Linked DNA regions of Styela clava. The protein of the gene in region 1 binds, or shares a complex with, the protein of each later gene. Links are inferred from orthologs where the notes say so. Each region holds a gene or a part of one and is shown in the gene's direction. Other genes may lie near its edges.

Evidence for each region.
Region 2: DNA-directed RNA polymerases I, II, and III subunit RPABC3-like (region 1) and DNA-directed RNA polymerase I subunit RPA12-like share a complex: the UniProt entries of both Homo sapiens proteins name them as parts of the pol I pre-initiation complex. The link is inferred for Styela clava from reciprocal best matches to the Homo sapiens genes POLR2H and POLR1H.

Annotation. Positions count from the first base shown.
Region 1 is NC_135255.1:11,093,787-11,100,233, forward strand, and holds DNA-directed RNA polymerases I, II, and III subunit RPABC3-like, read left to right. Parts: upstream 1-3,877; 5' UTR 3,878-3,980; coding exon 3,981-4,118; intron 4,119-4,718; coding exon 4,719-4,868; intron 4,869-5,446; coding exon 5,447-5,614; 3' UTR 5,615-5,878; downstream 5,879-6,447. Other genes in the region: nuclear pore complex protein Nup214-like, read left to right, coding at 1,297-1,456, 1,741-1,854, 2,238-2,268; mitochondrial inner membrane protein Mpv17-like, read right to left, coding at 6,013-6,130, 6,321-6,373. UniProt on the Homo sapiens protein: DNA-dependent RNA polymerase catalyzes the transcription of DNA into RNA using the four ribonucleoside triphosphates as substrates.
Region 2 is NC_135256.1:9,246,909-9,252,097, forward strand, and holds DNA-directed RNA polymerase I subunit RPA12-like, read left to right. Parts: upstream 1-4,287; coding exon 4,288-4,650; downstream 4,651-5,189. UniProt on the Homo sapiens protein: Core component of RNA polymerase I (Pol I), a DNA-dependent RNA polymerase which synthesizes ribosomal RNA precursors using the four ribonucleoside triphosphates as substrates. Can mediate Pol I proofreading of the nascent RNA transcript.

The DNA of each region.
Region 1 (6,447 bases):
ATCGTAGTTTGGTTTTTATATTTCGGACAGAATTGCGAGTTCACATCGGCGGAGATGTTAGAGACAAATATTAGGGAGTGCATTCACAACACAAATCAATTTTATTCTCATTTTTATCTTCTGTGTAGGAGTTGTATCACGGTCCCAATTTTAAACGAACAATATTATCATTACTGACCCCGGGAGGCGATATTTGTGAAGCGGATAGTTGACATTTTTATGCTTTTAATTTTAGATTGCGTTCGTGTTACTTTCGTATTGAATAATAACTAATAGCTCTGCAAATTGGTAATCTCTTGAATACTCAGTGTTGAGTATTTACGTAACTCAGCTTTGGGTTAAATCACTGATACTAAACACATGAATAAATCGGCAATAATGGAATTTCTACATGGTCAAAATGATATATATTTCTTCCCAATATCTCGAGAAATTTTCATAAAATACATTATTTACCTGTCCTACTTATCTGGTTCGACATTTCTAAATTCACAAAAACGGTGTTCACACGCTTTATGCAAAATTAGGAATTGAAAAATATGACGCAAAGAGGCAAGGAAAATTTTTTTTCACATTTATCGTTTCTACCAGTTAGCGATAGCCATCGGTAAATTCTTACCCGTAACTCGTTGTAAATTATTGTTAATAAATTCTATTTTGCTTTTTAATGCGCTGTGCTTTGTATTAAAATAAAAGTGATTTAGTTGGGAAGAGAAAGTCCTTAAATTAGCTTATGACCCTTCTCTTCTTTTAAGCGCCCATAACGGCGGTTAAATTGTTTCATGTCTGTTTCATGGAGAGAAGGGAAAATATGCCTTCCGGATTTGCAATCAACAATTACAAATTCCTAATTATTCTTATCAGCGCTAACTAAAAAAGATAACATGTCTTGTAGACGGAATAAGTCTGTAGATGTTAATTGCATTATGGTGATAACGCGCAGAATAATATCGCTTGGACCGCGAAACCATGACGAGCGATCGTAAAACTAAGCCTTTGCTTTTTTGTAGATGAAATTCACATCAAATTTTTTCTCAAACAGAGAGGGTTACACCCATGTAAAACCGCTGGCTGCGCCCCTGGAAATAATAATTATATACACATTTAGAAATCGATCAACTTTAAGGAATAAGTAGATCTATACAATATAGTTGACATGAAATTTTCTGAGATTAACACTGAATAGTTGAGGTAGCCAATGATGAGAAATTCTGACAGCTTGTCCTATTACTTTTATTCCATTGCTGCTGCTTGTTATATCCTGGATGCACTTAACATTATTGCTAATACTTTTAGGTTTTGGAGCTGCTCCTGCTTTTGGATCTTCTGCTACATTTGGTTCTCCTCCAGCTTTTGGTTCTACCTCTGGTGGAAGCACATTTGGAGGTGGATTCGGTTCACAGCCTGCTTCAACTGGTGGAGCTTTTGGACAAACTGCCAGTGGTGGTTTTTCATCGTAAGTAAAGGGCATTGAAGATGATTCTCTAGTCTCTACTACCAGTCAAATTTGTGAAGCACAGTTCTTATATGTGGCAGTGCTCAATACATATTATATTACAGATGATAAATGACACTTAATTCCCTTTTGGCCATACAGATCCATGAATGGCAAAAACTAAATAAACTATTATGACCAATTTTTCACCAGTCCATGAAGATAACTTCTACAATGGTTAATAACTTGTAAGCTAGTTTTGTCATATTGTGTTTTTTTTACAAATACTCAAACTCTTTTTTTAGCTTTGCCAGTAGTGAAACACCTGGTTTTGGTAATCTTGCGAATCAATCTGGAGGATTTGGAAGTCCACAGCAACAGCAGCCAAGTAGCTTTGGTGGGTTTGGATCGAACACACAGTAAGATGGATTTATAATTATGCAGTCTGTAAGGAATAAAATAATAAATAGAAACTCTATCAGTGCATTGCACACACATAAAAGTTTGCCATAAGTCTTGTTCCCCCAGTGTTTTTTTTTTTTGTAATCTATCGTGGACAAAAATTGCACAACTACAGTATGGAAAATGTTTAATGACCACTTGCAAAGGATACTTACGTTTCTAAAGAAATTTTTTTATTAAAATCAGTATTTGCTACCTAATAGTGATGTGTTTTTTCACAGCTTCACCTATAAATTTTTTTGTTTGAAATGGTTGATAACGACCATGCCATGACTGTAAAGAAGTCTTAAAGACAGTATTTGTGGGGCTGTGTATAAACAATCATGTTTCTTCATTTCAGAAAAAGCCCTTCTTTTAGTGGCTGGAGATAAATGATCTATGGAAAGGTGTACATTTTTGTCCTTGATGCTGAATCATGCCTTGTTAATAATGTCACTGGATCTAAAGTCGTTTTTCACAACGCATGCTACTATTGCTCCTGAACCTGATTGCTACTTTATGGATATGATGATAAAATAATGAAAAACAGTTAATTTATTAGTATAATGTTCATTTGTAAATGTGATAATTTGTTTCATTAAGAACAATAACTTAATATTGTTGGCTGAATTAAGATCCAAATAAATATCATCGGAAAATGACTGGAACGATGTGCAACTTAAAGTTAGTCATCCAGGAATAGTAACTCAACAAAACAAATTATGTACAAAAATTCACAATATAAATATAGTCTAACACTTAGACATATGAATAATTTTAGGAAAATGAGTATATTATAACTCTAGTCGTAATCTCAAGCAATACACGATTTGAATGTTGAAGTATGGTCAGCACTGGTCACATTTAGTTGGGTTGGCATATCGTCCTAATTGTTAGAATTATGCTACAGCACCCCAGATTACACTCCTTGGGTTCGAATCCTGTGGGGGATAATTATGTGCGAGAGGATTGCTGAACTCCTTACCGCCGAAGGGTGGTTCACGTAACCACTGATAGGCTATGGCTCCATTCACCATCAAGCCACTACATCTGAAACAAGTAACTGGCTAAATGATTCTATACCGACATGGACGAGAGGCTGTATCACACCATATGTTTAAGTCGTGTTATCTTCTCTACTCGGCGTGAATGTGTAAATCTTATATTTGGTGCTGTGTGGCATAACTTAAGAATTTTCATGAAATGTTTTTTGATTTGACGGGCAGTAAGGTCTCAACCCCCAGTGGAATGACTGGTATCGGAGTTTAAATACAAATTACCACCAGATGTATTATATTGTGTGGACACTATTTGTCTGATGAGACACAAGAATTGATAGACATTTTATTAGGTCTTCAATGCTTATAATTGTTACATCGCGAGACACTTGTATGTATTTGAAATGAGCATTGATGAGATTACAAATCCGGCTTGATGATTGGCTTATTAACTTGGGTGTTATGAACACTATTGCGCCCGCTTGTGTAATAGTCTCGTCCCCAATGAGGAAATAAGTATTTGGGGCAGCTCAATTATATGGAGATTGGATAATCACTGCCTCTCTGTTGCTATTTAACTTGTTCTTGCTACTTCGAGGAGTCCTCTTATCTTCTTGAACAAATTATGAATAAAGGTTGTGAAACCCCTCTAAAACAGCTTATGACTGAAATCGTCATGGCGGTAGGACCCGCTTTTCATTAATTCTATCAACTATACTTTGTTGCACGATAGTATATTTTATTTATCTGTGCTTTCATGTATTTACAATAATTAGTTTTTACTTATTACCTAATACTACTACACTGGGCTATACACGCTATAAGAGTCCCTGACCTGAACTGGTAACCGGACGAGAGGCCGTGGTTCGCCATATGATTAAGCCGTCTTATCGGCTTTCCTCTCCCCCGGAATAAACATGTAAATCCTATCCTCTTCCGGAATATATGCGATTCTAATTTTAACAGATGGGAACCGATATATCCGTGTAGGAAAATTTTTCAATAAATTGTTTGGTACTCGCGTGCGTTTATGTCGGGCCTGGCTGTTCTGCATTTCTGGGTTTCTGTGTATCGTCTTGCGTTTTAGTTCGTGTGGTCGTTTCGAAATGGCTGGAGTGCTATTCGAAGATATTTTTGATGTGAAAGATGTTGACCCCGAGGGAAAAAAATTTGATCGTGTTTCTCGACTTCACTGTGACAGTGAATCTTTCAAAATGGACTTGATTTTGGATGTAAACACACAGGTGGGTCTTGATTTACAGTAAGGAATGCCTGGATGCAGGACTGTGGCTGAAATAACTAAAATCGGCTTGTGTCTGTAGCAGTCTAGTCATAGCAGCTCTTTTAAACAGCATTCGTAGCTAATTTGCTTTTTCGCTATGAAATTATTAAATACATTAATATGGTCTGGTACGGTACCGTATAGTTTAGTACCACATGCACTTCTAGTTGGCCTGGCTTAACAATTTTTGCATATGTCGATCCTAACCCTCACCTGACTACGTCACAGTGGCGTAATAAGGCCCACCAAAGTATGCGGATGGTCGCCCAAAACGCGCAGACAATCACCCGAAATCGAGCAAGCTATTTCTCTCGTTTTCTTGTCACAACGATCACGATAGGAGAGAGATCGTACTTTAGCGAGTTCGTTATCGGATTTTTCAACTTATGATACTTCAAGGCGAGAGGCCAAAAACATTTGGGCGAGTTCGAGTCGTTAATTTTCAGAGTGCTCGAGTAAATTATTGACTCATTTATTTCCAACACTCGACTTAAAAAAATTTCGAACTACACAAAAATGCATGTCTGTAATCTCAGAATCTTCACAAGATTTAAATGTTCAGGTTTATCCAATGGAACTTGGAGATAAGTTTCGACTTGTTCTTGCAACAACTTTACATGAAGATGGGGCACCAGATGATGGAGAATTCAACCCATTGTGGGATCAGCAACCCACCCGTGCAGATCAGTTTGAATATGTCATGTATGGAAAGGTAAACTTTCTTAATTATTTTTCAGGTTCCCATGCGGGTAAATGATACTTATATTGTTGTGTAGTACTGTTAACAATGATGATTAGTGGATCATTTGTTTTTGTTGTGACATATGTAGAACATCATTCTATTGGAAAAATATGAATCACCATGCAAGCACTGCTGGTGGTTGGATATTCAATTAGCGTTTGTACACGTACACATATAATAGTATTTTAGCTATAGACGCCGTAAACTCAACCATCACTTTGTGTTTCACAAAATTACCTACCAATCCTTTGTGTTTGTAGAATGCAAGGGTGCTGTAGCAAAATTAAAAGATGACTATTCTATTTGATTCAAGAGTTTTGCTGCACACTACACATAGGATTAGTGTTAGTGTGCAGCAAGACTCTTCGAATCAGACAGCTGTGTTTAGTTGGGAATTTATGCTGCTTACTGATTAAATTGATTCAGTAAATTCAACGATATTTCATCCTTAAAAATAATGTTATGAAGATTAGTTTCTAATCAAACATGGTATTATTCATATGTGTTTTTAATTCTTTAATATATATTAAATCCCAATAAATTTTTAGGCATACAGGATAGAGGGGGATGACACTGGCAGCGAAGTTGCATCCAGACTTTCGGCTTATGTGTCATTCGGTGGCCTTCTTATGAGACTGCAAGGAGATGCAAACAATTTACACGGCATGACTGTTGATCAGAATGTTTATTTATTAATAAAGAAATTGGCATTCTGATCAAGACTGTAGCGAGCGATTCGTTGGTAATTCAAGGACAAAGAACTATCATCTTGACTGGCGATACATAGTTACAACAGTCAGGACTGATGAAGCTGCTTTGTTTTCTCAAGATGTAACATCAAGAACAAATCGATCAGTTTTGTGTAAAGGTTACTAAACAGCAGCTCCCCTATTTCCAAGTGGAGAAAAAAACTTGCGACGGTTTAACTATCTCAATTTTATTCTGAAGCAAAGTAGGAAATAATAATATTTAACTTCTGGCTTTGGGTATTGCGTTTGCACAGCAGCACATACATAATACTATAGGCAGTACTCGCAGCTTGGTCTCATCATCCTGATACTTTCTTGGCCTCCTAATGTTTCTAGCCAATGAGCAATTCGTCAACAGTAAAAAATCAGCATGCTTTCTTCTCTCTGCCATCAGCCACATAGACATCTTTATGAATTGTGCGATTAGCTCTGTTGCTCAAATAGGAATTCCAGAACAATGCGACTATTTGGCAGAAGAGCATTCTGAACAAATAATTAATATATCATTATTCATTATGCTCAATTCCCTTATTTTGCTACAAATTTTATATGCTTAATTTACTGGAGCGGCTATGAACTGTCGCACAGCCGCTCCAGTAAATTAACTCTGCCAGAAATCTTAAACGCTGCAGCTTTCAAAAAATATTCATTACTGAGTACTGACTAAACCCACCTGTATTGAAAAGGCACGATTCCAAAATTGATCGTTTGTGATGGAATCCAAACCTAAATTTAAGTAAAAAAAGTTGCAGAATAAAGAATTATTTGTTGAGTTTTTGGATCTCTGAAGGCTAAAATTT
Region 2 (5,189 bases), on another chromosome or scaffold:
AAGGTTTGATAGTAGTAGAGAAGTAGAAAAAATACTTCCATGTTTTTTTTTATTTGATAACCACGCCACAGAACTTCCCCGATAAGTATACGCAGCAATTGCGAGAGGCAGAAATGCTAAGATGGGATTTCATCGCATTATAAACCAATATTAGCAATTCTTATATATATTCGCGCATTCCCAGCTGAACAGCGTGAAAAAGATTGTACCCATCTACACACTTTAAGAACTATGTCAGATGAGCGTCATATTATCGAATATCAGTAAAGGAATAGTGCAAAGGGAAAAGACATATAAGGCGAAACTTTCAGTAGTATGCAATCAAATAATCTTATTGTAGAATATATATTTAAAAACATTTCGTCACGCCAACTGCAGTCCGAAACTTTTTGTCTCTGGCTGAGCTTAGATACCAATTGGCACTCATGTAAACTGGTAAGACTGTAAGAGGCACGCGATGGAGCAGATACTAAGAGTATCCATCCCCCAGCTGTCATTTGAGTGGGTACTGCTGTTTTTATTGCAGATGTTACGGATCTTTTTGTATTAAAGATTTACTGGCATCACCGATTTAAGGATGTTGGAAACCAACCCGCAATATTACAAAACTTACTTCCAACACGCGGTTTGAATGAATGAAAAAGCTGAAACTAGTATTCTTTAGAACAGCATACAAATTCTATGGAATGAAATCATACACAAAAGCTCGTCAAAAACCTATAGCTCAATAATCAAATGGAATTTGATGCATGTGCGCAAAAATGTGCTCGTTACCACGTATAACCGAAGCACGCAGGAATATGCGTGTGATGTACTAGTATTCAAAACGTTTGACTCAACTATGTTGGCATAACAGGTGCACATCTCGGTTTCGCATACGCATACCTTCTATCTCCACAAGGATATATTAATTTTGCCAAAGTCAATGCAGCACTGAAAAGTTGCGGTTCTTCCAAAAGAAAACACGTTACACATCTTTAGATACCAGTGGATGGTATTACATGGCCTTGTTCGGAGTGAAAGACGAGGTCAAATATTCCAATCCAATTCAACTAATAAAATATTTCCCAAGTCCCTAAGCTTAAACTAGGAAAACGAAATGCCAGATGTAGTTTGAAGAGCGCAATAGAAAGTGGATAGATGCTGTCGATGGATCTTGGTTTGTATTAGTGAAATAAACTACCATTTATTCTACTAAAATTGAATTTCTGACATTGTAAGGAGATTCAATGTTACTATGTATGCAAACCTAAACCATGTAGTTATGAAATAATTGTTTTTAACAAAAAGGCGCTCTTGAAGTATTTGTACCAAGATGGCGCACAACCTGAACACTGTATGGTTACCAGGTTAGGGTTCAGAATGTGCGTCATCTTGGACCGAATACTTTAAATCCACCTATAAAAAAAAATTGCTCAAGATTACTCCACACCCACCTGGGTATCATTATATATGTCATATACATTATATCTAAACAATAAAAAAAAACTTTATGTTCCAAAACAATGTTAAGGCCCGATTCTGCCGGACTATCTTATCCAAAATGTATAGTTTACAAAAAACAAATTAAAATATAAACCTCACTGATAAATGGTGGCAAAATACACCCATATAATGTGCACGTAAATTAATATGTCCGTTTCTGCTTGTCTGAAGCCCTGCTTAGAGTGATATCGCGTAACGTCATATTAATATATTGTAGCCCAATACATGATCTATGGCTGGACATAAAATAACAAGTCCCTCCTTATGTGTGTGTGGTAGGGAGGCCGCTGCCCTCGCTGAGTTTGTTAACGTAGTCGCAGACGCCATTACGGGTGATCAGCTCTATTTTGTTACTGTGACGTCGCATTGGCGTAATTTTTTGATGACGAAGTCAGGTGAAGGTCATGAATATTATATGCGAAAATTGTTACGCTAAGCCTAATAGAAGGTATTGAGGTATGAAACTACACCCATAGCGAACAGACAGGCGTATTTAACACGATTGCATTATGGTCGCTATTATTAGGCAAGCTCTATTTCGTTATTGTGAATTCGCATTGACGTAATTTTTAGATGACGAAGTCAGGGCAAGGTCAGGAATGATATATGCAATAATTGTTACGCTAAGATAAGTATAAGTCATTGAGGTAAGAAACTACATCCATAGGTGGCATAAATAGTAATCGTCGCTATTATTGAGCAAGCTCTATTTCGTTATTGTGACGTTGCAGTGACGTAATTTTTGGATGACGAAGTCAGGTGAAGGTCATGAATATTATATGCAAAAATTGTTACGCTAAGTTAACTAGAAGTTATTGAGGTAAGAAACTACATCCATAGCGGACACACAGACGTATTTATCACGATTGCATTATGGTCGCTATTATTAGGCAAGCTCTATTTCGTTATTGTGAAGTCGCATTGACGTAATTTTTGGAACATGAAGTTAGGTGAGGGTCAGGAATAATATATGCAATAATTGGTACGCTAAGATAAGTATAAGTTATTGAGGTAAGAAACTACATCCATAGGTGGCATTAATAGTAATCGTCGCTATTATTGAGCAAGCTCTATTTCGTTATTGTGACGTTGCCGTGACGTAATTTTTGGATGACGAAGTCAGGTGAAGGTCAGGACTATTATATGCAATAATTGTTACGCTAAGATAAGTATAAGTTATTGAGGTAAGAAACTACATCCATAGCGGACACACAGGCGTATTTATCACGATTGCATTATGGTCGCTATTATTAGGCAAGCACTATTTCGTTATTGTGAAGTCGCATTGACGTAATTTTTGGAACATGAAGTCAGGTGAGGGTCAGGACTATTATATGCAATAATTGTTACGCTAAGATAAGTATAAGTTATTGAGGTAAGAAACTACATCCATAGCGGACACACAGGCGTATTTATCACGATTGCATTATGGTCGCTATTATTGGGCAAGCTCGATTTCGTTATTGTGACATCGCATTGACGTAATTTTTGGATGACGAAGTCAGGTGAGGGTCAGGAATGATATATGCAAAAATTGTTACGCTAAGATAAGTATGAGTTATCGAGGTAAGAAACTACATTCATTGCGCTAAGGCAAATTAATGTGTCGGTTTCTGCTTGTCTAAAGCCTTGCATAGAGTGAAAGCGTTCCACGTCCTATTAATAAAATGTGGCCCAATACATGATCAGTCTCTGGATATTAAATAACAAGTCTTTATGTCTGCGGCACCTAACCTCAATCATTGCGTGAATTAAATGTTCTTTCTGTTTGTCTAAAGCCTAGCTCAGAGCGGTATCGTATATCACCCTATTAATAGATCGTAGCACAATACATGAGCTATTGCTGGACATAAAATAATAAGTCTTTATGTGTGTGGTACCCAACTTCAACCATCGCGTAAAATAACATGTATTTTCTGCTTGTCTAAAGCCTTGGTTAGAGTTGTATGGTATAACGCTCTATTTTAGATTGTAGCACGATACATGAGCTATTGATGGATAGAAATTGGTCAGAATGGGATATCGTGAACGTTCCTCGGCGACAATTTAGTCGCTTGTGATTCTTGTGTTTATTTTGAGCTCTGTACAACGACCCCGATAAGAGAGAGGTCGCTGACGTATTGAGTTTGTTGACATACTCGTAGGCGCCATCACGGGTGACCGTCGCTATACTTTGGCAAGCTGTATTTCGTTATTGTGACGTCGCAGTGACGTAATTTTTGGATGACGTCATCAGATAGGGGTCAGGAATCATATATCCAAAAATTGTTACGCCACGCCCACTAGAAGTTATTCAGGTAAGAAAGTACATGAGACCCACACTTATTGAGTTTGCCACTTGCTACACTTTAAAGATTATTTCGTCTTTCCAGAATTAGGTTTGCTTTTTTTTGTATATTCATGGGGGTTACTTGAGTCCCTGAAATGTTTCATGTTGCCACTTGCCACTTTAAAGGATAGGATATGATTTACATATTTATCCCGAGGGAGAGGAAAGCCGATAAAACGACTTAATCATATGGCGAACCACCGCCTCTCGTTCGGTTACCAGTCCATCGGGTCTTACGAGGGCACAACAAAATTTGCTATTGCAGTATTGGTTGTATGCAGTTTACAATTTTCCCAACCATGGCATAAATGTTAGCATAAATAATCCTTACGAGTGGAGGGCAACTCGCCATGGCTGCATGGTGGCTAACTCATAACCATCCTCCCTACTGCCTCTCAGTCTCGCATCCTTAATGCGAAATTTCAACAATGTTTTTATACAGGTATTTAGCTCTGTTCTGTAATTAGAAAAATATGAATAAATGTATGACAACAGAAGATGGTTTTTGTTCAAAATGTGGAGCCATTTTACCACTGCCTGTTGATTCTATGCAATCATACATTACTTGCATCTGTAAGTCAAGAATTCCATGTTCAGAGTTTAATAATATGATTGTAGCTAAAGCTGATATAATACTAAATGAAATTAGAGGCAAATCTACAAAGAAAAAGGCAAGGGATGACAAATCTTCTGGTCCTAAGTTAGAAAGACTATGTGGACATTGCGGGCATAATGAAATGACATACAAAACTCAACAAACTCGATCAGCAGATGAAGGAATGACCATATTTTATTATTGCTTGAAATGTGGATCATTAGAAAAGGAAGATTCGTAGAGATTCAATAATAATGCATATGAAAATGTGTGTCTGGATGCCACAGACTGGAAAATTTATGATGAGTGCGGGGAAAGATAAGATGCTGTTGCAGTTATACTGTGTTTATTTTTATCGATGTGTCAAGTTCATGCATCGGGAATGAATAATTGGTTGACTATTTTCATTCCCAAATCCCAACATAGATTGGAACCTAAATGAGAGAGTGGTTATATTAAGATGTATTATAGACTTTCCTCTTGCTGAGTAAAATATTGAAATCATATCCTAATTCTATTAATGTAATAATGAGTTCTGATTCAATTGAGGAGACTGCTACTAATTTTTTTAGTGTACACTGATACATAAGCATAGCTATTCATTTTGCTGTGAATACAGCACTGTGAATCTTGTTTTAAAATACAAGACTTTGACTGGACTCTGTTTTGTTTTCTTGCTATACAACTGATGGTAAAAAAATTTCAATCGAATTATAAAAAATAGGAGTGTTTAGGAGAGTTATCATGAACAAAAAATTTTTTCAATTTAATTCAGTTATA